Macaca mulatta: one gene and its partners. The protein of the gene in region 2 purifies or fractionates together with the protein of the main gene of each other region. This does not show direct contact. Links are inferred from orthologs where the notes say so. Each region holds a gene or a part of one and is shown on either strand. Other genes may lie near its edges.

The links.
Region 1: the proteins of PRKACA (region 2) and AKAP7 purify together in Homo sapiens (affinity purification with mass spectrometry; 4 studies listed by BioGRID and IntAct, with this or other methods). This does not show direct contact. The link is inferred for Macaca mulatta from reciprocal best matches to the Homo sapiens genes PRKACA and AKAP7.
Region 3: the proteins of PRKACA (region 2) and CDK5RAP2 purify together in Homo sapiens (affinity purification with mass spectrometry; 6 studies listed by BioGRID and IntAct, with this or other methods). This does not show direct contact. The link is inferred for Macaca mulatta from reciprocal best matches to the Homo sapiens genes PRKACA and CDK5RAP2.

What each region holds. Positions count from the first base shown.
Region 1 is NC_133409.1:36,176,900-36,180,645, reverse strand, and holds the start of AKAP7 (A-kinase anchoring protein 7), read right to left. Parts: upstream 2,583-3,746; 5' UTR 2,571-2,582; coding exon 2,306-2,570; intron 952-2,305; exon of another isoform or gene 877-951; intron 1-876. UniProt on the Homo sapiens protein: Probably targets cAMP-dependent protein kinase (PKA) to the cellular membrane or cytoskeletal structures.
Region 2 is NC_133424.1:14,678,756-14,682,401, reverse strand, and holds the end of PRKACA (cAMP-dependent protein kinase catalytic subunit alpha), read left to right. Parts: intron 1-1,088; coding exon 1,089-1,253; intron 1,254-1,641; coding exon 1,642-1,767; 3' UTR 1,768-3,189; downstream 3,190-3,646.
Region 3 is NC_133420.1:37,812,630-37,816,251, reverse strand, and holds the end of CDK5RAP2 (CDK5 regulatory subunit-associated protein 2), read right to left. Parts: intron 1,429-3,622; coding exon 1,382-1,428; intron 934-1,381; coding exon 877-933; 3' UTR 516-876; downstream 1-515. UniProt on the Homo sapiens protein: Potential regulator of CDK5 activity via its interaction with CDK5R1. Negative regulator of centriole disengagement (licensing) which maintains centriole engagement and cohesion. Involved in regulation of mitotic spindle orientation.

The DNA of each region.
Region 1 (3,746 bases), on a different chromosome or scaffold from region 2:
TCAAACACCTCCCACCAAGCCCCACCTCCAACATTGCGGATTACATCTCAACATGGGATTTGGAGGAGACAAACATAAAAACTATTATCATTCTGCCCCTGGCCACCTAAATCTCACTGCAAAATATAATCATCTCTTCCCAATAGTCCGCCAAGGTCAACTCATTCCAGCATTAACTCAAAAGTCCAAAGTCTCATTTGAGACTCAAGGTAAGTTTCTTCCACCTATGTGGCCAAGGCTAAACAGTATAAACTGCTTGTAAATGCTGACAACTATGCTGAATACATTCATATGTTTCTCATTTCTGCTATTCAAACGTTTCAAAATTGAATATTACCTTTCTAAGAAAAACAATACATACATTTTAAGTACATTATAAAACCATACCTTTAAATATATGCTAATATTAAAATATAGGTGAAGCAAATGACTTCATCAAAAATAGGCCAACAGGGCCGGGCAAGGTGGCTCACGCCTGTAATCCCAGCACTTTGGGAGGCCAAGGCAGGCAGATCATGAGGTCAGGAGATACAGACCATCACGGCTAACGCGGTGAAACCCCATCTCTACTAAAAATACAAAAAATTAGCCAGGCGTGGTGGCACACACCTATAGTCCCAGCTACTCAGGAGGATGAGGCAGAGGAATTGCTTGAACCCGGGAGGCGCAGGTTGCAGTGAGCCGAGATTGTGCCACTGCACTCCAGCCTGAGCAACAGAGCGAGTGTAAAAAGGGTATGGACAGTCGCCCACTGTCACACAAAATGCAAGTTTCCTATCTGGATAATAAATGACTACTCAATTTTGCTAAGTAAGTCTCTCATCACTCAACTAGGTAAATAGTAAATTTATCCCAGCTGAGCAAGTTGCCTCACACCTGTAATCCCAGCACTCTGAGAGGACTGCTTGAGCCCAGGAGTTCAAGCCTGGGTGACATGGCAAGATCCCGTCTCTACAAAAAAAAAAAAAAAAAATACAAAAATTAGTCAGGCATGTTGGCACGGACCTTGCAGTCCCCGCTACTTGGGGAGGCTGAAACAGGAAGTTGGCATGATTCCAGCAGATCCAGGCTGCAGTGAGCCATGATCGCGCCAGTGCACTTCAACCTGAGCAACAGAGCAAGACCCTGTCTCTAAATAAAAAAACAAATAAATAAGTTTATTCCTAAGAACAACTAGAAAGGGCCAAAGGCATCCATTCTAGTCCTGGCTTAGCTACTAAAAATAGTATTAACATCTTACACGTTAGTAAATGTTGACTGCTGCGTAGAAATCAACAAGTTACCTGACCTCCAGGCTTTCCTTTCCTCCTCATAAAAAGGGAACAAAAGTACAATCCAAATTATTGAGGAGAAATGGACAAAATAAGTTAATAATGTCCGAAAATGGATGAAAGGAGGAAGTAACCTCCACAAACATCTTAAACTTTATATGAGTATAGAAAATATACAGATATGCTAACAGGATCCTGAATTGCAAGGCCACGGCACTTAAGGAACTGGAGTATGGCTCTTTTCTCCTTAACAATTTCCATTCCCATGCGTTTCCTAATTGCAAAAACTCACTGTCATCACTCCATTCACTTAACAATTGTAAACATATTTACATGAGTTAACTGCTATTTATATAGCACACGTTAACGTTTTTATGCTTTTTATACTCTTGTATGAGTTTATCCTATGAAAATCTTGCAGAGGAGCACCTTTTCTCTAATTGGTTTGCGGTCCCTTTTACCGAAAGTCCAACCCCTAACATGCTCCACTCACAAAGTTCAATTCACAACAAACGCTGACCCAAACTGGAATTTCATCCCGGGCGCTAGTATAGACTTGGCGCCAGTTTTAAAATTGGTCATGTTCAAACCTGGCAGAAAATCCTAAATGAGACAGTATGGTGGTTCAGGTGCTTAATATTTGTGATATAAGATACAATCGAGATTTTACTAGGTTTTGTTTACATTTACTCACATCGACACCGTCAAAAGCAATGTGTATTGGCATTAAGTTTGTGCAAAGGGTCACAGGATGAGAAAGGGAAAAAGAAAAGTGAAACTCGGGGATGGGCTCATACCCCCGCCTCCTGTCGGACCCACAATGCGTGCATTAAAACGCTTCGCTACAGGCAACACCGATGTACACTCGGTTGCACCAGGCTCCTCGGTGCTACCCTGAGTCCTTTCTGGAAGGAGGGAGACTCGGAGCAGGGCCGGCGCGGGTCAGGCCCTCCCAGAGGTCGAGCGCAGAGCGGGTCCAAGCCCCCGCGGCTCCTGTCGCCCCCGCCCCGGCCCGCTGGACAGCCAGGTCTCACCCGCTTCGGCGCGCTCCATGGTCGTGGCGCATGCGGGCGGCGCGTATGGGCTGGCGGCAGCGGCGGTGGCGGGCCGCAAACAGGGGCTGGAGGAGAGGTTGAGGCCAGGGCGGGGCCCGGGGCCCGAGGGTAGTGCGCTGGGCCGGGGCGGGGTCCAGCAACAGGCGGCGTGGGCCCGGGCAGCGGAGGCCAGGCCTGCGGAAGCGCGGAGCTTCCCAAGCCGCAGCCCCCGCGGCAGCAGCAGCAGCCGCCGCAGCGCCGGCATGTCAGGCCAGACACCGGAACCAACCGGAAGGGACCGACCCGAGTCGCCGGCGGTACCCGGATTCGAGCGAGAGGCGCGGCCGCGCTCGGGCAGGGCGGGGGAAACTAAGGCCGGCGACTGCGGCGTCACGGCAGCCCAGGTCGTCTCGACTCTGCAATGCAACGCTGGGTCCTGCCTGCCTCCCGAGCCCCGCGGCCTCCGACGGCCTTATAAGCCCTCATTTATATCCCGTGGCGCAGCCTTTCCTGTCCCACGCTTTCAGGGGCGAGATTGGGACTAGGATGAAAGAATTCTCTGGCCCGGTGTCTTTTGAAAACCCATGTACTTAGTTTTGCAATCAGGGTTCTGATTGCAGAATATTTGGGAATAGCGAAATGTACAAGAATGAGACCTTGTAATTCTGTATAATAAGATACTTTATTTACCTTACCTTTAAAAAATACAAATTGTGACAAAGTCTCTAATTTTTAACAATGTTATGTTTAGACATTAAGAGGAAACCAGTTGCTGGTTTTTGTAGTGTAAGGTACTGCTGTGAGTAAATTGGGAGAAAAAGCAATTTACTTAGTTTAAAAAAAAATAAAAACCTTTCACTTGAAACAGAATGCTATTGGGATTGGTTTTAGTGCAAAGAAACCAGGGGACAAAAACATTAGGTGCATCCGTCCACATATTAGCACTTTTTGTGAGTAATAACACTTCGCTTATGTTGAATGCATCCTAGAATAGGGATGGAAGAAAAGACCCCTACACAGCCACAACAGCTGGCGTAAAGGCTGCACACTAGAAGTCAGCAAACTAGTTACTCTGATTTTCAAATAATTTTAACACGTTGAGTATTTGATGCCCATTTATGGGCTGGTAGAAAAGTACAACCAGTTCCCCTAATATTTATTTAATACCTGAGCTCTGTGCTGAGAATGTGCAGGTAAGACAGGTCTTTTACTTATGGAGCTGATCATGTAATAGTGAGAGGTGACAACGTGCTAGCAGCCCTCGTGCTCTCGGCACCTTCTTGACCTCGGGGTCCACCCTGGCGGCACTTGAGGAGCCCTTCAGCCCACCACTGCACTGTGGGAGCCCCTCTCTGGGCTGGCCAAGGCCTGAGCCAGCTCCCTCTGCTTGTGGGGAGGTGTGGAGGGACAGGCGCAGGCGGGAACCGGGGCTGCGTGCTGC
Region 2 (3,646 bases):
TGACTTGCATACAAGGCTATGGGCTCAGAGTGTATGGGGAAAACTTTCAAGAAGAGTCGAGCTGCACTTTAAAGAATGGAAGAGCCTTAGCTATGCAGAAAGAGAGGAGAGAAAAAGTTTGTCATAAGCATGAATATTTCAGAAGTCTCTGAACCCCAGCAGAGATGCCTTCAGCAGCAGCGGCAGCAGCAGCAACTGAGAATACAAGTTCTAGAGTCCAGTAGACCTGAGATGGAATTGCCCCATCCCATGCCTCAATGTGACCTTGGAAGAGCTGTTTAACCCTTCCAAGCCTCAGTTTCCCCTTCTCTGAAATGGAAATCATCATAGCACTTGCCTTAAGAGCAATGGTTCTTAAAGGGGACCCCTTTCCAGCATCACCGTTGCTGGGGAATTTGTTAGAAATGCAGATTATTGGGCCAGGCACGGTAGCTCACAGCTGTAATCCCAACACCTTGGGAGGCCGACGCAGGTGGATCACCTGAGGTCAGGAGTTCAAGACCAGCCTGACCAATATGGTGAAACCCTGTCTCTACTAAAAATACAAAAATTAGCCAGGTGTCGTGGCGTGAGCCTGTGATCCCAGCTACTTAGGAGGCTGAGACAGGAGAATTCCTTGAACCCAGGAGGCGGAGATTGCAGTGAGTCCAGATCGCACCACTGCACTCCAGCCTGGGCTACAGAATGAGACTTTTTTTTTTTTTTTTTTTAATGCAGATTCTTGCTGGGTGCGGTGGCTCACGCCTATAATCCCAGTACTTTGGGAGGCCAAAGCAGGAGGATCGGTTGAGCCTAAGAGTTCTAGACCAGCCTGGGCAATATAGTGAGACCCTGTCTCTACAAAAACTTAAAATAACTAGCTCTTGAATTTTTAAAGTTTTTAAAGAAATGCAGATTCTCAGGCCACAGTATCACTTCCTAAATTGGAAACTGTAGTGTAGGCTCAAGGAGCTGTTTTACAGGATGCCAGCAGGCACTCAGCTTTGGAGGCCCCCACCCAGTAGGACTGTTGGATGGAGAAAGAAGCCTCATGGGCTCCCCAAGTTCCAGACCAGCTTCCCACCCTGTCCTTGTACCCCTTCCTCCAGGTGCGGTTCCCTTCCCACTTCAGCTCTGACTTGAAGGACCTGCTGCGGAACCTCCTGCAGGTAGATCTTACCAAGCGCTTTGGGAACCTCAAGAATGGGGTCAATGATATCAAGAACCACAAGTGGTTTGCCACGACTGACTGGATCGCCATCTACCAGAGGAAGGTGGGTCTCCCCTCCTTAAGCTGCTGAGGGTTTGGGAGCAAGCCGCGAGTCAGGGAGGACAGCCAATAGAGAGAAAGAGAAGAGAACACAGGTTCAGGAGCAACCTAGAGTAGAGAGCTTAGAGCAGTGGGGTCTAGAAATGGGATTCTGGGGTCATTTGGCCATTCCATGACCTTGTGCAGCAGATGCCTCTCTGGGAAATAATTTCCCCTTTGATGAGTTGGCTACATTAAGAGTTTCAGGCTGTTAAGAGGAATCCATAACCTAATGGGAAGCACAGGCCTGAGTCAGAGTAAATATCTCTTGAATGTTAGGCCATTCGCATTTATTGTTGTAATAATGATTATGTTGAATGCTGAGGTCTGGGTGATTCTTGATCCCTCTCCAGGTGGAAGCTCCCTTCATACCAAAGTTTAAAGGCCCTGGGGATACGAGTAACTTTGACGACTATGAGGAAGAAGAAATCCGGGTCTCCATCAATGAGAAGTGTGGCAAGGAGTTTTCTGAGTTTTAGGGGTGTGCCTGTGCCCCCATGGATTTTCTTTTCTTTTTTTTTTTTTTTTTTTTTGGTGGGGGGGTGGGAGGGTTGGATTGAACAGCCAGAGGGCCCCAGAGTTCCTTGCATCTAATTTCACCCCCACCCCACCCTCCAGGGTTAGGGGGAGCAGGAAGCCCAGATAATCAGAGGGACAGAAATATCAGCTGCTCCCCCTCATCCCCTTTGCCCTCCTGCCCCCTCCCCCACTTTTCCCTTCCTCCTTCCCCACAGTCCCCCAGCCCCTCAGCCCCACCCAGCCTACTTCTGCCTGTTTTAAACGAGTTTCTCAACTCCAGTCAGACCAGGTCTTGCTGGTGTATCCAGGGACAGGGTGTGGAAAGAGGGGCTCACACTTAACTCCATCCCCCACCCACACCCCCATCCCACCCAACCACAGGCCCCACTTGCTAAGGGCAAATGAACGAAGCGCCAACCTTCCTTTCGGAGTAATCCTGACTGGGAAGGAGAGATTTTTAGTGACATGTTCAGTGGGCTGCTTGCTAGAATTTTTTTTTAAAAAACAACAATTTAAAATCTTATTTAAGTTCCACCAGTGCCTCCCTCCTTCCTGTACTCCCACCCCTCCCATGTCCCCCCATTCCCCAAATCCATTTTAAAGAGAAGCAGACTGACTTTGGAAAGGGAGGCGCTGGGGTTTGAACCTCCCCGCTGCTAATCTCCCCTGGGCCCCTCCCCGGGGAATCCTCTGCCAATCCTGCGAGGGTCTAGGCCCCTTTAGGAAGCCTCCGCTCTCTTCTTCCCCAATAGACCTGTCTTCACACTTGGGCTTTGAGAGCCAGACAAAGCAGCTGCCCCTCTCCCTGCCAAAGAGGAGTCATCCCCCAAAAAGACAGAGGGGGAGCCCCAAGCCCAAGTCTTTCCTCCCAACAGCGTTTCCCCCAACTCCTTAATTTTATTCTCCCCTAGATTTTAATGTCCAGTCTTCCCTCAGCTGAATGGGAAGGGCATCCCTGCAAAAGGGAACAGAAGAGGCCAAGTCCCCCAACGCCATGGCCCGGGGTTCAAGGCTAGAGCTGCTGGGGAGGGGCTGCCTGTTTTACTCACCCACCAGCTTCCGCCTCCCCCATCCTGGGCGCCCCTCCTCCAGCTTAGCTGTCAGCTGTCCATCACCTCTCCCCCACTGTCTCATTTGTGCTTTTTTCTCTCGTAATAGAAAAGTGGGGAGCCGCTGGGGAGCCACCCTATTCATCCCCATATTTCCCCCTCTCATAACTTCTCTCCATCCCAGGAGGAGTTCTCAGGCCTGGGGTGGGGCCCCGGGTGGGTGCGGGGGCGATTCAACCTGTGTGCTGCGAAGGACGAGACTTCCTCTTGAACAGTGTGCTGTTGTAAACATATTTGAAAACTATTACCAATAAAGTTTTGTTTAAAAAAAAAGTGTCGCTGGTGTTCTCGACTTCGATCACCCACCCACACACCCCCAGGGGGTTGGAAAGGGAATTTCGGACCCCAGAGTGCAAGCCGATCAGGTCCCGGCTTGAAGTCCTTGTAAACAGGGTTTAGCTGAAATTCCGGCACTCCTTCGGCCCCGCAGGAGAAACGAGCGTCAAACTGCCCTCTGACCCCAGATTCGGGATCCCCAAATCTGCAGCGCGCCCCCTCGGCGTCCAGCCCGGGACCGAGAGGGCGCTCTAGGGAGGCGCTGGGGCCGGCGCGCCAGAAGGCCGAGCGGCAGCGGGGGCGGCCCTGGCAGGGGGAGTAGAAGGGGGAGAGGGTGCGCGCCCCCCTCCCCTCATCCTTAGCGCCGGGCCAGGCGCGCCTGAGGGACGCGGGGGCGGCGGCAGCAAGAGGGTCCCCGCAGCACCCTGCGAGCGCGGCAGCCCCGGCCCGCGGG
Region 3 (3,622 bases), on a different chromosome or scaffold from region 2:
GTCCGAGAGGGCGCAGCCTGGGTTAGGCTGGGGAGAACACTGTTCGGTTTGCCCGGAACACAGAGTGGAGTGGGAGGAGGCGAGATGGGCAAGGAGCCAGAGGTGCCAGCAAGGCTTGTAAACCTTGTTAGGGGCTCGGGCTTGGATCAGAGGGTAGTGGGAAGCCGCTAAAGTGTTTTGGCTGGGGGCATCTTGGTCAGAGGCAGCGATGTGGATGGCTGATGACACACCCCTGTCATCACGGGCACAATGCAAATGCCACATCCCAGCTCTGGGCCTCACTTTGCTCTTTGCTAAATCGGGAATGGCACCACTGCAAGGGCTGCTGTCCAGCAGACTGTGAGATGCTGAGCACACACCAGTGCCCACAGCCACGCTGCACGGAGGTGCTCTTCTCTGGACACCTGAGCGAGCTCAGCAGTGAGCCACGCGACTCGTGGAACCCTGGCCTGTCCCACTTGGGATTTTGGGACCTGGGCTTTGAGGCTCCATACAAAACAACAGAATCGTCAAGGTGAAATGAAATGAATCATTTAATGAGAATCTTCAAACTGCGGCACTGGCTGAGTACTAAGCAAATCCAGGGGAAGACGTGAAGCCCACCAAGGCGCACAGCCTCAGTTCCGGTGCCTGCCCCAGATCTGAAATGCGACATCCAAGAGCTCGAGGCCTTTTTACCACCCGTTTGTGGAGCACCCGCACCTTTCTGACAACAACTCTCAAGCCAACTTTCAGAGAGAAAACATGAAGGGAAAAAAAAAGATTTCCTTTGGCCAGACAGCTCTTTCTTCCTCAATAAATAGGAACCACACTTGAAACAAAGAGACAGCGTGAGCTCAGTGGGGAAGCACAAGCTTTATTGGCTGCAAGTTCTTCTCAGGAGCCTGGTCTGCTGGGACTGCATGTTCCTGGATGGGCTCCCCCGGGCCTAAGCTAGGAAAAGGAAGAAAAAAAAGGAGAATTTTAAGTCCAGTGGAGGTTTCTGAAGTAAGACCCCTGACAGAGGTAAACGCAAGACTGTTATTCTCAAAGTGCTTTCAAAGACATAGTTTAGTCAGTAAATATTTACCGAATAAAATGACGATGAGATCATACTGCATTCATTCAAGAAATATTCATCAAATGCCTACTATGTGCCAAGCATTGTTTGCTGAATTTCTTACTGGTAAAAATAGCATACAAATTTAAAACTTAGAACCCCCACTGACGACAGGGCATGATAAAACACAACTTTTCATGCACTGCTGGCAGAAACACACAACTCTCTGAGGAGGACATGTCCCCTGGTTCCCCCTGCACCTTCATTTTTCAAGAGGTCCTTTCTGGCCCTGCACCCCTCCCAACCTTCCACTGGCCTACAGTGAAGACTCAAAGGGCATACCTCCAGGTTTCCTCTGGCCTTCCGAAGGATTTTGTGGGTTACGACCACTGAGGAGAGAGCAAAGAATGCAATGATTAGGGGCACAGATGTCCAGGAGAGCCGTGTGAAAGCCAAGTGCAGGGAGGATAAGCCCCACCCCAAAGGGCTCAGACATGTGGACAACATGAGGTCTGAAGCATCCAGACCAGAGGGAGGTACCAAGGGCCCACCTGACCCATCACACACCCCAGAGCCAAATAATGCTTCAACAACACCTCTTTGAGGCCCCACTAAGCCACCACCTGACAGCGATGCAGAGACTAGAGCACGCTATGCCGGTTCACAGAAGACACCACAGCTCTGCACCGTCACCCGGCTGTCCAGGTATCCCTCAGGCTCACCTCTGTGGGCCAGGGAGGGCAATGGCACTGGGAGGGTAGAGGCCTGGGCCTGCCCAGCACTCTTGAGTTTCCTAGGCCCTGTGGGAAGCAGCTGTGGGAAGGGACTGTGCCCTGATCAGGCAGACCCACATAGGAGGGTCTAAGTTCTACAAATCCAGGTTTTTACCCAGCAGCTCTTAGAGCCAGCTCCAAATGGCCTGGAAGAAAATGCCGCGGGCATGCTGCTTCTCCTCTGCCTGCCCTTCAGCTGGTGGAATAGCCCAGCCTGGTTCCCCAGGCAAGTCACATTCTGCCTGGACAGGAGTTGGTTGGGTGGGATGGTTTCAGAGGTCCCTGCCGACGCTGACGCCCGGAGCACCGTACTAGACAGATGCCCTGTGTATCCAAATTCCCAGGAGGGGCGGGCGAGCCCTGGCTTTCAGGTGCAACTGGAAAGGTGGCTCTTCCTTCAGACTTTTTCTTGTCCAACACAAACTCCAGCAGTGGCAAGAATGCCCCTCTTGATCAGAGTTGAGCCTGACAGGGAATCTGTTCTGAACAGGGCTTGGTGAGGGTAAGGAGATCAGCTTACTCCCCATGCTGGAAACACCAAAGGCTTCTGGAGCCGCACCTTTAGCCAACAGTGCCAGAGGCTGTAACAGACTCAACGCCCAGCACACACAGCCCGGCTCCCCAGTGGCTTCTTCAGAATAGGTGTTGTGTGGTGGCCTTGAGAAAATATCGATTTCTTACCACATGAAAATTTCCATCTGGAGGTAATGGAGTTTATGTGCAATCTGTGACACTGGGGACGGGACAGACGGTGTGGACTTTGTTTTTAGCCAAGCAAAACGACTTTCAGAGGTGGCCACTGCCCCTCTACTCCCAACCTGACCTCCTGCTGCAGGGCGAAGTTCTTGACATGGGGCGCTGGATATGTTTGGGGCATCAGTCCTAAATCCTCCGACACTGTGTGCAAATGAGGGCATGTATCTGGATGTCTGCATTTTTCCACAGAGAGACCACAGCTTTCTCCAGATTCACCGAGGGGCCTGAGACCCAGAAAAGATGAAGTATCACAGCTGTGGAGGTTAAAGATGAGTGTGAAAGAGCACTCCATGTCCCTAGAGAACAAAGCTCCTGGCAGAAGAACTAAGGATCACCTGGCTCAAGCTTTGAGGGGACCCCTGCACCTCAACAGCACTGCCGCATTCCAAAGCACAGAAATCCCCGCTGCAAGGAGAAGACCGAGGAACACAGCGACAAAGGACTCGTCCCAAATCTAGACTGGCCCCAGCACAGAGATGGGACTCACACGAGGGTCTGCCCAACTCAGTCCACGGTTCTTCCCACCTCAACAGAGTGCTGGGAAGACCTGAGCTGAACAGTGTTGACCTGGTGACAGGTGGTTCCAACTGTGGCCTCACTGAATACTCCCCCACCCTATGGGGCAGAACTACTGTCCTCACTTTGCAAATGAGGACCTGAGGCTTGGAACTGAGGCACCTGGTTCCAGGTCACATGGCCAGTGAGAGGCCCCAGGGCATCAGGACTCTTAGGGTCCCACTGGGATGCCCTTTCCTTACTTTCCCCTGTAGACTCTGAGAAGGTATGGTGTCAGTTTGACCAGGTAGCAGTCAGCCCTGGCATTTGCCCTTCCCCATCACCATGAGGGGATGGAGGAAGAGGAGGTGCTATGCCAACTTTCACCTAGTCCCCTTCACAGAGCAGGTCTGTGAAGTCCGCGGGGCTTGGAGAATTTCCCAGGACCTGGCTCCTTGGGATGAGCTGCAGAGCCTGGCACAGGAGGAGCTGCAGGCCCGGGCCAGCCACCAGCTATGCTGCCTGGGGCAAGCCCCTCACCCTGCTCTGGCGGAGCCTG